2 linked regions of the Sus scrofa genome follow. Each later gene encodes a partner of the first gene's protein in a complex. Links are inferred from orthologs where the notes say so. Each region holds a gene or a part of one and is shown in the gene's direction. Other genes may lie near its edges. The genes, in order: DNAJB1 and NUDC.

The links.
Region 2: the proteins of DNAJB1 (region 1) and NUDC are in contact, whole or in part, in a crystal structure (PDB 7NDX), measured with the Homo sapiens proteins. The link is inferred for Sus scrofa from reciprocal best matches to the Homo sapiens genes DNAJB1 and NUDC. Residues at the interface, in NP_006136.1 of Homo sapiens: His166, Lys181, Lys182, Met183, Lys184, Ile185, Ser186, Asp201, Lys202, Ile203, Ile235, Phe237; in NP_006591.1 of Homo sapiens: Pro102, Gln103, Ile104, Lys105, Glu106, Leu107, Ala112, Leu115, Gln116, Ile119.

What each region holds. Positions count from the first base shown.
Region 1 is NC_010444.4:64,758,577-64,766,462, forward strand, and holds DNAJB1 (dnaJ homolog subfamily B member 1), read left to right. Parts: upstream 1-3,095; 5' UTR 3,096-3,219; coding exon 3,220-3,430; intron 3,431-4,639; coding exon 4,640-5,217; intron 5,218-5,514; coding exon 5,515-5,745; 3' UTR 5,746-5,906; downstream 5,907-7,886. UniProt on the Homo sapiens protein: Interacts with HSP70 and can stimulate its ATPase activity. Stimulates the association between HSC70 and HIP. Negatively regulates heat shock-induced HSF1 transcriptional activity during the attenuation and recovery phase period of the heat shock response.
Region 2 is NC_010448.4:84,236,281-84,244,018, forward strand, and holds the start of NUDC (nuclear migration protein nudC), read left to right. Parts: upstream 1-2,414; 5' UTR 2,415-2,522; coding exon 2,523-2,603; intron 2,604-4,986; coding exon 4,987-5,064; intron 5,065-7,738. UniProt on the Homo sapiens protein: Plays a role in neurogenesis and neuronal migration. Necessary for correct formation of mitotic spindles and chromosome separation during mitosis. Necessary for cytokinesis and cell proliferation.

The sequences.
Region 1 (7,886 bases):
TTCCCAGACCTAAGATTGCCTTCATTTTTTAAACATAAGGACACAGCTTGCATGATGTTTTGGCCTACCCAGAGCTATGTGAAGACCTTCGGAGGCCCCCACATTTGTAACTCTAAGTTAAGTTTATAAGTGTGAGGAAGTCCACAAGCTCTGGGTTTTTCCCCATGATGACTCCCCTGTTACCTATTTATGTAACTTAAAAAAAAAAAAATCAGGTGTTCCTGTCATGGTTCAGTGGTTAAAGAACCTGACCAGTATCCATGAGGACTCGGGTTTGATCCCTGGCCTCTTTCAGTAAGTTAAGGATCCAGCATTGCTGTGAGCTGTGGTGTAGGTTGCAGATGTGGCTAGGATCCCGCAGCTGTGGCTGTGGTGTAGGCAGGCAGCTACAGCTCCAATTCGACCCCTAGCCAGGGAACTTCCATATGCCTTGGGTGTGAAAAAAAAATCAAACTCTCTCCCCTCCATGATTGGTTCAGGACCCCTACCATGCTGTGCCCCTGGGCACCCAGGCTAAGATGCATCCTCCCAGGTCAGCTGCTATGTGTCCTAGTCCAGAGACCTTACTGATATGGCTACCCTAGAGTCAGTGAACGGCCAGAATACCCCTGCTAGATAGCAGGGAAAGGACATGGTTGTCTTTCTCAGGAGTTCCAGCCTGGGCAGTAGTTACTAGAAGCTTTTTGCTGAGGTGCTGCCAGGAAAGGGATGGCCCAGCAGCCCACCATTCAACCAGATGATTAGTCACCACTTTGACAGCACTTCCTCTAGGCCAGGCCTGTCTTGGGCACTTTACAAATGTTGACTCAATGTCAATTTCAAAGCCCTATGAGGCAGGTACAACTACAACTCCCATTGTACACATGAAGAGGCTAAGGCCCTGGAAGGCTCAGTCACCAGCCCAAGGGGTTTCACAGCCAGGAAGTGCTGTAACCAAGAATGAAAATCTGGCTGTCTGGCTGCAGAGCCAGTGTCACACTGCCTGGATCTCCCAAGCAGTTCTTCCAGGAACCTCTCCCCTTCACAGGCCACCACCACCTATCCCTTCTTCCCTATTCCCTTCTCAGGCTGTACTCCTTTCAGAGCCTCCTTTCCCTATCAGCCTTGTCCTTGACCACAGACTTTCCCCAGACTCTGAAAGCCAAAAGGGATCATGTTGCCTGCCGATGAGGAAGCAGAGGCTCTGAGAGGTGTATGCCACACCCATGTCTCCCCGAAATCATAAAGGTAGTGGGGAGAGAAAAAGAAGCAGGTGCATTAAAAATAGCCAGGAATAGGAGTTCCCATTGTGGCTCAGCAGTAACAAATCCGACTAGCATCCATGAGAATTCTGGTTCAACCCCTGGCCTCACTTAGTGGGTTAAGGACCAGGCATTGCCATGAGGTGTGGCACGTAGGTGACAGATATGGCACGGATCTGGTGTTGCTGCGGCTGTGTCAAGGCCTGCGGCTGCAGCTCCAATTCAAGCCCTAGCCTGGGAACTTCTATATGCCGCAGCTGTGGCCCTTAAAAAAAAAAAAAGCCAGAACTAGAAAGTTCCCATGTGGCACAGAAGTTAAGGATCCCAAGTTGCTGTAGCGCAGCACTGGTGGCAACGGGAGTGCAGTGTTTTTATGCTTTTTTTTTTTTTTTATCTTTTTAGGGCCACACCCTCGGCATATGGAGGTTCCCAGGCTAGGGGTCCAGTTGGAGCTACAGCTGCTGGCATGCACCACAGCTACAGCAACATCAGATCCAAGCCACCTCTGCAACCTACACCAAAGCTCACTGCAATGCCAAATCCTTAACTCATTAAGCAAGGCCAGGGATGGAATCCGCAACCTCATGGTTCCTAGTTACACGATGGGAACTCGTGGAGTGCAGGTTCAGTCCTTGGCCAGGGAACTTCTATATGCCGCCTGTGGCCAAACAAATAAAAAAACATAGCCGGGAATATTTAGGAAGAGTCAGACTGTTCTGACACTGAGACTCAGCACTGACAGAGGTCAGGCCCTGCTCTGATAGTGATCAAAGGCTGGGGGGGGGGTGACATTTAGCATGAAAACCAAGGAACAAGATAATTCCAAATTTCAGTGGGAGGTATTCTTGAGAAAATGGTAATAAAGCAAAAGGCTTGAGGGGTTAGACTGAGGAGACCTCTCCAGGGAGGTAAGCTTTGGTCCAGGGTCCTTGGCTCGCTTTACAGGGTCGGTATGGGTGAGGAGAGGGACAGTTCTGGGGCTCCCAACACTGAGGGTGAGTGGGGTTTTTTTTTTTGTTTTTGGTTTTTTTTTTTGCTTTTTGGGGCCCCACCCGCGGCACATGGCTCCACCCGATCAAATCCACAACCTCATGTCTCCCAGTCGGATGCGATTCCGCTGCGCCACGACCGGTAGGGGGGTATTTTTATTCCCGGATGGAAGCAGGTATCTGGGACAAGGAGCGATTAGGCAACTAGCCTTGAATCACCTGGCGTAAACTGATTCTCCCGCCCAGCGAGATGGGGGAAGGAAGCACCTCCTAGGGGAAGGGCGGGGCCTTTCGCAGCCCGGGGCCTTTCGCAGCCCCGCCCTACTCGAAGCACCGCATTTTTTTTTTTTTTTTTTTTTTTTTTTGTCTCCTCTAGGGCCGCACTGAGACATATGGAGATTTCCAGGCTAGGGGGTCCAATCGGAGCTGTAGCCGCCAGCCTGCGCCAGAGCCACAGCAACGCGGGATCCGAACCACGTCTGCGACCTACACCACAGCTCACGGAATCCCTGGATCCTTAACCCACTGAGCGAGGACAGGGATCCTAGTCAGATTCGTTAACCACTGAGCCAAGACTGGAACATCGAAGCACCCGCACTTTAACCTGTTGACCCAGGCAGGGGCGGAGTACGCGGCAGGCCCGGTCCCCGGAAGCACTGAAGCAAGGTCGCTATTGGTTCCCTCAGAGAGTGGGCGGGGCCTCAGACGCCCAGTGCCCGCGCTGCGGCGAAGCGTTGCCTAGGGCGGAGCGGGAAGGGGTGTGGCCACGCGCGGGCAGCCGTTGGCGGCGCGTCCCCGCCCCGGATGTCGCGCGTCGCAACCTGGGCAGCGACGATTGGTCGGAGCCGCGTGGGGGGCGGGGCGGAAGGTTCTGGAGGGGGCTGGCGGGCTCTGGAAGCTTCCGCCGGACGGGTATATAGAGTCCGGGACGGGGCGGTGGCGGAGCCGGGGTACGGCGACAGCTGGGCGGCAGGCCGCAGGCGGGGGCAATGGGCAAAGACTATTATCAGACGCTGGGCCTGGCCCGCGGTGCCTCGGACGAGGAGATCAAGAGAGCCTACCGCCGTCAAGCGCTGCGTTACCACCCGGACAAGAACAAGGAGCCCGGCGCCGAGGAGAAGTTCAAGGAGATCGCCGAGGCCTACGACGTGCTCAGCGACCCGCGCAAGCGCGAGATCTTCGACCGCTACGGGGAGGAAGGTGTGTGCGCGCGCGCAACTGGGGGTGCGCCACCGCTGTTTGACAGGCGGAGAGATCGAGGCACTGCGGTACCCCGGCGGCGTCCCCGGGGTAGCGCTAAGGGACCGGGGGACGAGCAGCCCCCGCCTTTTGGCCAAACAGGCCTCCGCCCTCGATTGGCGGCCTCCCGATGGGAGGAGGAGTCCTGGCCGCGCTGCTCGCCCAGAAGCTTCTAGTATGTCTGGGGCCGCCCGTCTCCGCCCACGTCCGCGATCCGTCGGTGGGGGAGAGGGTGCAGAAGGAGAGGGGGTAGAGTGCGCAGCCTTGATGATGGCGCTGCGGCCCCTCGGGCGCTGGGCTCACCTGGGCGAGGTGAGAGCCTCTGCCAGCCCAGGGTGCAGGGCGAGGCCTCTGGCTGAGCGCCGGGCGCAGGCTGCTTGCAGTGAGCTTGCAAATGAGAGTGCCAATTAGCGCCCAGCGACCTCCCGGGCGTCTTTGAGGGTGGAGTGAGGTAATCCCTGTAAAATGCTTACCTAGCCCCGTGCCAGACACGTAGTCGGTGGTCAAGGTGCAAGGAGCAGTAGGGCCCGCCTCTGCCCGGCCTCACCAGGATAGCTCTCTTGGGGAGGCGGGGGAGCGGGAGGAGAAGCTTTCTTGTTGTCCAGCTGCCTGTTGATGACTCAGATTGGTTTCTCGGTTTGGTCTTAAGAAAGAAATGACTTTTTATATATAAGAATGGTGGCACTTAGTGTCAGAGCGTGAGAATTTGAAATCTCCGATTGCTGTTTCACCTTCATTTCTACTCTCCCTACAGTCTCTAGCTCTAAAGTATTTCAGAGTAAACATTTGGTGAAAACTGACCCTGGATCACACCTTTTTCATTGGCTGTCTTGAGTTCTTTGTACTCCTTGTAACATTGTAGGAAAGATGGGTCACTCAAATGTGAAGACCTAGGTGGTGGCCCCAAGAGATGGCCATCTTAGAGCTCGAGCCCGTCTCCACTGTCAGGCCACAGTGAACTAACTACCTGTGGGTGATGGTGGTTCTGTTTTTGAGACTGCAAGTGGGAAGAAAAAGCTTGGAGTTCCTCCTTGCTCTTTCCTGACAGCCAAAAAAAGAAAAAAAAATTCTTCCTTGATGGCTCTCAACTCTTTTTTTCCCCTCAAGGAAAGCTCCTAGAGAGAAAAGGTCCTGGCCAGCCATCTGATTTCTTTTGCTTTTGCATTTCAGGCCTGAAGGGTGGTGGCCCAAGTGGTGGGAGCAGCGGTGCTAACGGGACCTCTTTCAGCTACACATTCCATGGAGACCCTCATGCCATGTTTGCTGAGTTCTTCGGTGGCCGAAATCCCTTTGACACCTTCTTTGGGCAGCGCAACGGGGAGGAAGGCATGGACATTGATGACCCGTTTTCTGGCTTCCCCATGGGCATGGGTGGCTTCACCACTGCAAACTTTGGCCGCTCCCGCCCTGCACAAGAACCCACCCGAAAGAAGCAAGATCCCCCCGTCACCCATGACCTTAGGGTTTCACTTGAAGAGATCTATAGCGGCTGTACCAAGAAAATGAAAATCTCTCATAAGCGGCTGAACCCCGATGGAAAGAGCATTCGCAACGAAGACAAAATCTTGACCATCGAAGTGAAGCGGGGGTGGAAAGAAGGGACCAAAATCACCTTCCCCAAGGAAGGAGACCAGACCTCCAACAACATTCCAGCCGACATTGTCTTTGTTTTAAAGGACAAGCCACACAATATTTTTAAGAGAGATGGCTCTGATGTCATTTACCCAGCCAGGATTACCCTTCGGGAGGTAAGGCACTAGGCAGGGCAGTGTCTGTGGAGGGAGAAGGCTGCCTTTGGAAGCAGTTCTGTATTTTGCTTAACAGATATTTCTGAGCACTTGGTGTATGCCAGGCTTGGGGCGTGCAGTAACAGTAAGACTCTCCAAGGCTCTGTTTTTCCAGAGCTTCTGTGCTGTACCTGGGTAGATTGGGGCAGGGTCAGCTGCAAAGGCCTGATGGCATTTATCCTCCACTAAATAGCCTCTGGGCAGGATGTGAGCTTTCTAAGCTTCTTGCAATCTAATGCTGTCCCTTTGCTTTCCAAGGCTTTGTGTGGCTGTACAGTGAACGTCCCCACTCTGGACGGCAGGACCATACCCGTTGTGTTCAAAGATGTCATCAGGCCTGGCATGCGGCGAAAAGTTCCTGGAGAAGGCCTCCCTCTTCCCAAAACACCTGAGAAACGCGGGGACCTCATTATTGAGTTTGAAGTAATCTTCCCTGAGAGGATTCCCCAGACCTCAAGAACCGTCCTTGAGCAGGTTCTTCCGGTATAATCACCCATGTTCCCCAAGGACTGACCAGGGACCTTTCCAGAGCTCAAGGATTTCTGGACCGTTCCACCAGTTGTGGATCCGCGAGAGTGTGGGAGGGCCCAGGGAGGGCTTTCGTACTGCTGAATGTTTTCCAGAGAATATATTACAATCTTTCAAAGTCGTGCACTAGACTAAAGTGGTTTTTCGAGCGATAGGGCGGCAGGTGGTGGGGACAGCAGGAGAAGGCAGTTCGGTCTGCCCCACTGGGTCCTGCAGCCCTTGAGGATGGGCCCACACCTTCCTCCTCCAGGCCCTGCCCAGGGCGAGAGGCAGACCCACAGCTGGACTTGAACTCTCTGTAGTCCCTTTGCTTGCGGATGTTAGATGTGTCGACCTCCCATCTTGGTTACCAGACCCTGTACACTCCTGTTTCTGTTGTGTGATCAGTTCATGTTTTATTCTGTATTTGTCTCCCACATCTTGCTCTTCCCCTGAAGAATCCTGTTTTCTCTTTTGCCATCTCAAATTGAGAACCTAGACTATTTTGCAGAACTGCCTGGCCGGCTCCCATAAGCAATACCTCTTGTTCCAGCAGGACCAAGGGAGCCAGCCTCCAGTAAGTGAATAATGTGCAGCTGCCTCTCCCTCAAGGGTCGGAGGCCCTGGCTGGAGCGGGGGGCCCTCTCAACCCCTGGTTCTGAGGCTGAGTACACTCACCTTCCTGTTCTTTAAGGCAATCTTTTGGCACACCTGGGATTTACCAGCGGCCCAGGTAATTTTTGTTTAATGGACTCTGGACTCTCTCAAAAGGATCTAATCCTTTTGAATTTTGCACAGCCCTAGATATAATCCCTTTTGATAAAAGGGTCTTTGCTTCTGATTACAGGAGCACTGTGGAACGTCTGTAAATATGTTTTTATAATTCCATGTAAAGTTGGTGTGCACTCAAATGAAACCAGTCCACAGCAGCTGCTGTTCTCTGTATAGGGCCATGATGGAATTCAGAAGGAAACTTGGTGGTGGGGTGGGGGTGGGGAGGGTGTCGGAACAAATGTCTGTTCCCTACAGGCCAGTCTGGTGCTCAGACCTTTAGACTCATTGTAAGTTGCCACTGCCAACACAAGACCAAAGTGTGTGACTTGTCAATGTGCAGCGTGACAGCATTAAAGACTGATGCTAAACCTCAGGGGAGCAGTCCTGCGACTCTGTTTGAGGGCTCTGCTGATGGGCTGGGGTGGAGTCTGGGCATCCCTCCAAAGGCAGCCAGGGTAGGTGGGAGGGAGAGGTTGTCAGGAGCTTCTGCCTTCCTCAGCTGGATGTGGGCTGCACAACATCAACCCACTGGACCCTGGATCTAGGTATCCAAAGAGCCCTGTGGATTCAGAGCTTGTGTTTTTGGTGAAGGTTGGGGCCAGAGTTAAGCAGGTCCTCTTTCAGGTCTTCCAAGATCTGGTTGCTGGGACCTAGGGGAGGTGTATACTCTACCTTCATGATCTCCCCCATTCCTTTCTTGCTAGAACAAGCTGGTGTTGGGCAGGCCCTGGCCAAACCAGGTTAGGATTCCAGCTGCCCTGGAGAAGACCTATTTTATTTGCAGGCCACTGAAACTGCTTTTACTTTGTAACTTTTAGTAAGGACCTGGTTTTATTATAAGGTAAGTGATTATACAGGCAGAAAACAACCTATTGCTATTTTGCTACAAAACATCTTAAAAGTAAAAACACCATATTTAACCAATCTAGGAGTGGCTTTGCCTTCCCACTGAAGCAGTTTAACTACTGAAAGCAGTCTAAGGGCAGTGCTGTCCAAGAGAACTTTCTTCAGTGATAGGAATGTTCTCTGTCTTTAAAACAGACATTCTTAAAGATTTCAAGTTAAGTTGCTTGAGAGCTCCAGCCACACGTGGCTTGCAGAGGCTATGGCATAACACAGAGGGCTTTAACCCCAAATCCAAGACAGGTCTCTTAGGACAGCAGCCACGTTGAGCCCAGAAAGGCTGTCCTATTTGGGAGGTCACCCCTGGACTATCAGAACCAAAAGAGACCTTATCACAAGATGTAATTACACAGCTACCTCAGGGACTGAGATGACATTTACTGCAGAATTGACCCAGGCCCTCAGCTGGGGTCACAGACCCTCAAGGCCACCATTCCCCCTCACCC
Region 2 (7,738 bases), on another chromosome or scaffold:
GGAACTCCCCATTTTAACCATTTTTAAGTTTATAGTTCAGTGGCATTAAATACATTCACATTGATGTGCCATCATTTCCACCATCCATTCACCAGCCTTGGATGAGTTTTGGAATATCTGTTAATTATCCAAGTGGAGTTGTCCAGGGGCGCTGTCCAGGAGGTAGGTAAAGAGATGGTCCTGGCACTCAGGAAATGTCTGGGTGAGGTACCATGAGTATAAATAGAGAGGAAAAGAGGAGAGGGTAAAGGACAGAGCCCCCAACATTTATAAACCTGGGTAGATCAGAACACGGAGAAGGAGAGTTAGTGAAGTGGGAAGAAAACCATGTAAGTGTGAGGACGTGCAAACTCTGTCAGTCTGCTAGGGCTGCCATAACAAACTATTACAGACTGACTTGACAACAGTAGTTAATTTTATTACAGTTCTCCAAACCTGGAAGTCCAAGATCAAGATGTTGGCAGGTTTGCTTTCCTCTGAGGCTTCTCTTTTTGGCTTGCACATAGCTGCCTCACGTGGCCTTTCCTCCGCTTGCTCGTGAGTCCCTGGGTTTTCTTTCTCTTCTAGTAAGGACACTAACTATTTTGGATTAGGGCCACATCTGTATGAATTAACTCTAATTACATGTTTAAATACCCCTATTTCCAAAAAACAGTCACACTGGGAGTAAGGGTTTCTTCTTAATTTTTTTTTTTTTTTTTTTGGCTCTTTAGGGCAGAATTGTGGCACATGGAGGTTTCAGGCTAGGGGTCGAATCTGAGCTGTAGCCACCGGCCTAGGCCATAGCTACAGCAACTCCGGATCAGAACCTCATCTGGGACCTATACCACAGCTCATGGCAATACTGGATCCTTAACCCACTGAGTGAGGCCAGGGATCAAACCTGCGTCTTCACAGAAACTAGTCAGATTTGTTTCTGCTGAGCCGCGGTGGGAATTCCAAAGAGAGTTAGGGTTTCAATATAAGAATAATGGAGGAATACAGTTCCATCCATAACAGAAGACTAGGGAAAAAATTGTTTCTAGAAGGAAGAAGAGGTCAACTGTGTCAAATGCAGCTGAGAAGCTGAGCACTGTAATAGTGCTTTACTGGTTTTGGCAATAAGTAGGTCATTGTATCCTTGGTCAGAGTCTTAAGTAAAGACCAGAGTAAATCGAGGAGAGACGGAAGGTGAGGAAGTGGAGAAACAAGTATAGCAAATTTTTTTCAAGTTTTGCTGTCAAAGAGATTTTAAAATTGGGATAGGAGTTCCCATCGAAGCTCAGTGCTTAACGAATCTGACTAGGAACCATGAGGTTGCGGGTTCGATCCCTGGCCTTGCTCAGTGGGTTAAGGATCCGGTGTTGCAGTGAGCTGTGGCGTGGGTCGCAGATGCAGCTTGGATCTTGCGATGCTGTAGCTCTGGCGTAGGACGGTGGCTATAGCTCTGATTGGACTCCATGTGCCGCAGGAACGGCTCAAGAAAAGGCAAAAAGACAAAAAATAAAATAAAATAAAAAATAAAAAAATAAAATTGGAATGGTAGGAGGAGAAAAGTTTGTGTGGGGGGGTCATAGAAGAATAAAAAAAGAAGTGGCATTAAAGTATATTTGTAAGTTAAAAGGGATGATCCAGAAGAAAGAAAATTGTGATGCAGATTCATTGAGTAGGGAAAAAAAAAAATTCTGATGCAGGAGAATTAGGAAAGGATAGTAAGAGTAGAATCCCTGAAAAGACTAAGATGATGAAATTCAATACAAAAGTAGAGGGTTTGGCCTTAGATGGCTGGGGTCTGTCCCGCACAAAAGTGAAGTTCGAATTTAGCACTCATTACATAATTTGCATGAAACTGCGCAAAATGACAATGCGGGGTTGGGGGTGGGGCTCTTGTTAAAAAATATTAAGAGTCTCAGGACTGCAGCAGAAGAGCATTAACCCCAGCACCAAGGGACTTTCTAAGTCCGGGTCCCCTGCGACTGCACAATTTGTATGGAGTATGTGATGACAACAGGGGTAGGCTGTCTTTTGGGGCAAGTTCCCTTCTCCTTTCTGGGCCTCAGTTGGCCGATGGAAAACTTGGAAGAGATGATTAAGAACGCTTTACCGTTCTACAAGCTCAGCGGTCACTCTCAAGGCGTAAATTCAAAGTTTGTGCTTTTTCAACTTTCAGGCCCGCGTGATTTGAGCCCAGGGTTTTCTGGAAGGCTCCAAAAGGTTCCTGGTGACCATAGCAACTCACACCAAACTCAGAGGCCTTCGACTCCGCCCACCGCTCACGGACGCGCTCTTTGATTGGCTCAGCAAGTCGACCAATGGTCAGTGAAGCGGGCTGCTTGCCGCACGGTCAATGGCCGCTGGCCACAAGGGAGGCGGGAGGAGAGAGCAGGCGGGCGGGCCAAGGCAGCGGGGCGCGTGCGTGTTTCCGTCTCCGCTGCGGAAGGCGGAGGACTGAAACCGTTGCACCGGACGCGACCCGAAGGCGCCGAGAGCGCGGGACGCGAGAGCAGAGCTCAGATTTCGGAGCGTGGCTAGCAGCTGGCAAGATGGGTGGAGACCAGGAGGAGGATCGTTTCGACGGCATGTTGTTGGCGATGGCGCAGCAGCACGAGGGAGGCGTGCAGGAGGTAACGACCCGCTCGGCATTGGCTTGGCCTGGCCCACCCAGGCGGCCCAGCCACTCTCTTTCCTCCCTTCGCTGCCTTCGAGAGACGAGATCCACCCCTGGGCCTTGCGGGCTTTAGGATCCCGCATTCTCATTGCACCCCAGCTTCTAGTCTGGCCTCCCCGCCGCAAGTCTTGCGCTCGGACCAGTTCTGGATCCCTGGGGCCCCTCAGTAGTTACCATCTTAACAGCTCTGGCATCCCTTTATCTGCCCCTGGGAAGGCCCGAGTCTTGGAATCCCTTCCCCCTCTTTAGTCTCCAACCTGCTTCCGGCCCTTTTCCCCTCTGGTGGCCGCCCCCAAAGAACATCCTTTAGGATGTTCTAGGCATTGAGATTTGCATGTACCAAGACTTGGGGCGAGCGGAAGAATGTATGCGATGTGTGGGGGTGGGGGGGGTGATATTAACACGTGGTCTTTCTAGATCTTGAATGAGAGAATAGGAGGCGTGTTTTGCATTTCCTAACAACTTGGACTGTTTCATGTCTCCAAGCTTCAGTTTCTTTCTTTGAGACAGAGCTACGAATCCTTACTTCCTGAATTTGTAGGAGAGTAGTGTCTTGAAGTGAAGGACAGTGAAGAATTCTCGGTAATCAGACTCGAACATTCAACAAGTGTTTGTTGAGTAATTGATGTGTGCAAGAACATAATTCATGCTTAGTGACCAAACCCAATAACATGTGTAGGAAAAGGATAAGGACCAACTAGTAAAGATTCTGGAGTTGGTTTTTTGGACGATGGAAAGTTAAACGTAGCAAAACCTATCAAGATTAGTCTTTCTTTAAAGAAACTGAAGGAGCTTGCCCAAGCTCATCCAACAGGCTCCTGGCTTAGAGGGGACCAGAATCCTTAGGCCAGTGTGTGCTTTCCACAGTCCATTGTTGATTCTGTGTCTCATTGGAGCCTTCCATTCCCATTCTCATTCAGGTCCCTGTGGGAAGAGTGCTACTAATTTGCAGATGTGAAAGTCTCCCTTCTCCTACCCCCCTAAATTGTTGTTGCACCTGGATTTGGAAGTGAGTTCATTTTTGAGTGAATTGAAAAAGTGTCCAGAAGCAGGAATTGAAACTGTTGAGATAAATTCTAGCGTCAGATTTAGAACCTCTCACTTGGGCAAATAAAAGGGCTTATTTATATGTGCCAACCCTCAGTCATCACTAGATCTTTTTGCTCAGCAAAAGTTTTCTGAGCATGCACTCTGAGCCAGGTCTGGTGCCAGGCCTTGGGGATGTACACAGAGTCATGGTTCATGGTGCCTACTTGTGAGGAGCTCTCTCTGTGGCCGAGGTTCTTTAGCCAGACGCTATTAAGGACCTCACCTGCATGTCTTCCTTTGGTCCTCTCAAGGATCCTCACGTGTATCCCTAGAAATTGGTCCTGCTGCTATTTCTGTTTCATAGAGTTAAGACACTGTCCCCAGGTCACAGAGCTAATGTATATCAATCTAATGGCCAAAACGATGCTCTTTTTTTTTTTCCTTTTTAGGGCCACACCCATGGCATATGGAAGTTCACAGGCTAGGGTTTGAATCAGAGCTGCAGCTGCCAGCCTATGCCACAGTCATAGCAACGCCAGATCCAAGCCATGTCTGTGACCTGCACCACAGCCCACTGCAACGCTCGATCTTTACCCCACTGAGCAAGGCCAGGGATCGAACCCATGTCCTCATGAATATTAGTTGCGTTCATAAGCACTGAGCCACAACGGGAACTCCCAAACCGACGCACTTAACAACTTGACTGCACTGATGCACCCAGCCAGAGTTAGCTGGTTTTGGAGTTCCCTGGTGGCCTGGTGGTTATGGATCCAGTGTTGTCCATGCTGTGGCTTGATTTTGATCCCTGGCCCCAGGAGCTTCTGTAGCTAACCTCCCTCCTCCCCTCAAAGAAAAAAACACCAGAGTTAGTGGGTCTTAACCTTCTTTGAAGTGGCCTTCTTTGTTCTCTCCTTCCAGCTCTGCCCTAGTAACTCAGCCAGCGCCACTCTGGATGGGCTTTTTGCTACATGGAGAGGAAAGCTAGGCCCCAGGCATTTCAAACCTGGATGCAGTGCCCCATATCCTCAGGCTGCTTCTAGCATCACAAAAAATGTGAAATACACATATGCATATACACAAGAAATGAGAATTCTCCCTTTCTGTTGCTCTAGATCAGGTTAGGTTAGGCTTCCTGGCAGAAGTAACTAAGGCAGGGCTGTTGGGGGGGATGTTTTCCCAGTTGGGAGGCTCAGGGTTGAAATGGTCCAGTCCCAAGTTCCTTCCTAGGTGAAGGAGGTTGCTTGTGTGTGGTTAAGGGGCTCCCTGTATGGCACCTCTACAGCTTCAGTCTTTTGCCTTCTGTCTTTCAGCTTGTGAACACTTTCTTCAGCTTCCTTCGTCGCAAAACAGACTTTTTTGTTGGAGGAGAAGAGGGGATGGCAGAGAAGGTGAGTGTTGGCGAGCTTACCTGGCCTTCCTTTGGCATAATAATAACCTTTCGCAGAAGTTAACACGCCAAGGGCAAGAGTTGGGGAAGGAAAGCATTTACTGTCATTTATTGAAGTCCCTTTCCTTGCCAAGTGCTTTATCTACCCTGCTTTCCATGGTCCTTTAGCAGTTTGAGAGGGGCAGCTGTTACTATCTCCGTTTACAAAGGAGAACGTTGCTCCGAGTTATGAGAGACAGGTTGGAACCAGAGTCTGTTGTAAAACTGCCTTCTGGCCCTGGCATCACGCTTCTTGGTTTCTTTTCTACTGTGGAGGTTTTATCTAATTACCTAGCTGGGAGATGAGAGCAGGCAAATGTAAAACACTGAGCTTAGAAAAACAGATGTCGGAAAAATCAAAACCTACCAATCCTAGTCTTGCCAGATGCTTGTGACCCAAAGTTCAAGGATTTGAGAATTGCAGGGGGTTTTTTTGTTTTTGTTTTTTTTAACCGAAGTCTAGTTGATTTATAATGTTGTGTTCGTTTCAGGTATACGGTAAAGTGATTTGGGTTTTGTGTGTGTGTGTGTGTGTGTGTGTGTGTGTGTGACAGTGAAGAAGTGATGGGTGTTAGGGCACAAGTTCTGGGAGCATAAAATGGGGGCTCCAGGAAAACTTCCTGAGGAAGAGGTGCCTGCGGTACGAAGGCTGAGTAAGACAGCAGGCAGAAGGGAGAGAGGTGAACAATATCCAGACGTTACATCTCAGAAGTATCCCAGGGATGACGGTAGCTGCCACGTATTGGATGTTTGCTGGTCCCTCTTAGACCCTCCCTGCTGTGCTCCTTAGAGTCACCTCTTCCCCAGGAGGTTGGTCAGACCCTCAGGCAGGCAGAATCCTGTCCACCCTTCTCACCTGGTCTCCAGTGGTAACACGCTAACACCTTTATGTTGAGCACCTACTGTGCGCAGGGCTGCCAGATAACATCACTTTCAAGTCCTTGGGTTAAGAGCTCGGCTCTGGAGCTAGGTGTCCCCTCTCCCTGCTTGGCAGCTGTGTAGCGTTGGGTGAATCACTTCCCGATTCACTTGGTTTTCTATAAGACAGGGATGCTCTTTCCCTCACGGAGCTGTTGTGAGGATATAAGGAGGTAATATAGTGTGGCTGGCATATGCGAATACAAGTTCACAGTCCCTTTTTCAGACCTCTTGGGGTCAGGAGCATTTTGAGACATAGAATTCTTTGGCTCTTTGGAGGCCATACGGAGTATATACTGTCCATCACATGCAGGACCCCAGTCTGGGGGTCAGGAGCGGCATCCTGGAATGAAACTTGAATATTTCCGCAGAGAAATATGTATCAATATTTATACCATGTGGGAGATAATGAAGACTGTAAATATCTTCACGCTACAAACTTAGAGAAATACAAACGCACATTTAGTTTTTATAGTCTGGGGCTAGGAATTATGGATTGGAATAAAGTCATAATGATCACATCAGTATGTTACTGACAGAGAAAAGACAAATGGACTAACGAAGCAGAATAGAGAACCCAAAAAGGTCTTGCACGTATGAGGATTTAAGATGGGTCCAGTAAGGTAATTCAGTTCAGTAGGCAAAGGATGATTTAATAAGTTGTGCTGCTACTACTGGCTATTTATCTATAAAAAATGTAGCATCTGTTTTACTCATATCTAAAAATATATTGCAGCTCAAAAGAACCTCTTGAGGAAAGCTAGGAAACTAAGTATAGTCTTCTGTGGAGGAGGCCTGGCAAGGATAGAAATCTGGAAGCTATATGGAGTTCCTGTCGTAGTGCAGTGGTTAATGAATCCGACTAGGAACCGTGAGGTTGTGGGTTCGATCCCTGACCTTGCTCAGTGGGTTAAGGATCTGGGATTGCTGTGGCTCTGGCGTAGGCCGGTGGCTACGGCTCCGATTTGACCCCTAGCCTGGGAATCTCCATATGCTGTGGGAGTGGCTCAAGAAAAGGCAAAAAGACCAAAAAAAAGAAAAAAAAAATCTGGAAGCTGAAGGAGAAAAGGTAGCTGTTGGCCTCTTCAAACACAGGAAATGTGTAGCCAAAGAGACTTAATGACATCTAAAGTCTATTGAAAAGAAGTAGATTTGGGAAAAAAAAGTGCAATGGAGAGGACAGATAAAATTTAATAGCCAATTCAATATGCAGGGACTCTTGTAAATTGACATGAAAAGGATAGACAGACAAATGGGCAGTTCCAAGAAAAGCATATGAAAAGATGCTTAAATTCACTAGTAATCAAGGATATGTAGGAGGGAGAAACAGTGAGATGCCCTTTTTTTCTTGTCAAATTCACAAAAATATATTTTTTTAAATTGCTTATAGAGTTGTGTAAAAAAGGGTACTCTTTAGACACGGCTGGTGAAAGTCATATCAGCTCTTTAAAAACTATTGGAGTTTACTGGTGGCCTAGTGGTTAAGGATCTGGTGTTGTCACTACTGAGGCTCAGATTCCATCCCTGGCCTGGGAACCTCCACATGCTGCAGGAGCAGCCAAAAAAAAACCCCTTTTGGAGTTCCCGTTGTGGCTCAGTGGTTAACGAATCTGGCTAGGAACCATGAGGTTGTGGGCTCGATCCCTGGCCTCGCTCAGTGGTTAAGGCTCCGGCGTTGCCTTGAGCTGTGGTGTAGGTTGTAGACGAGGCTCCGATTT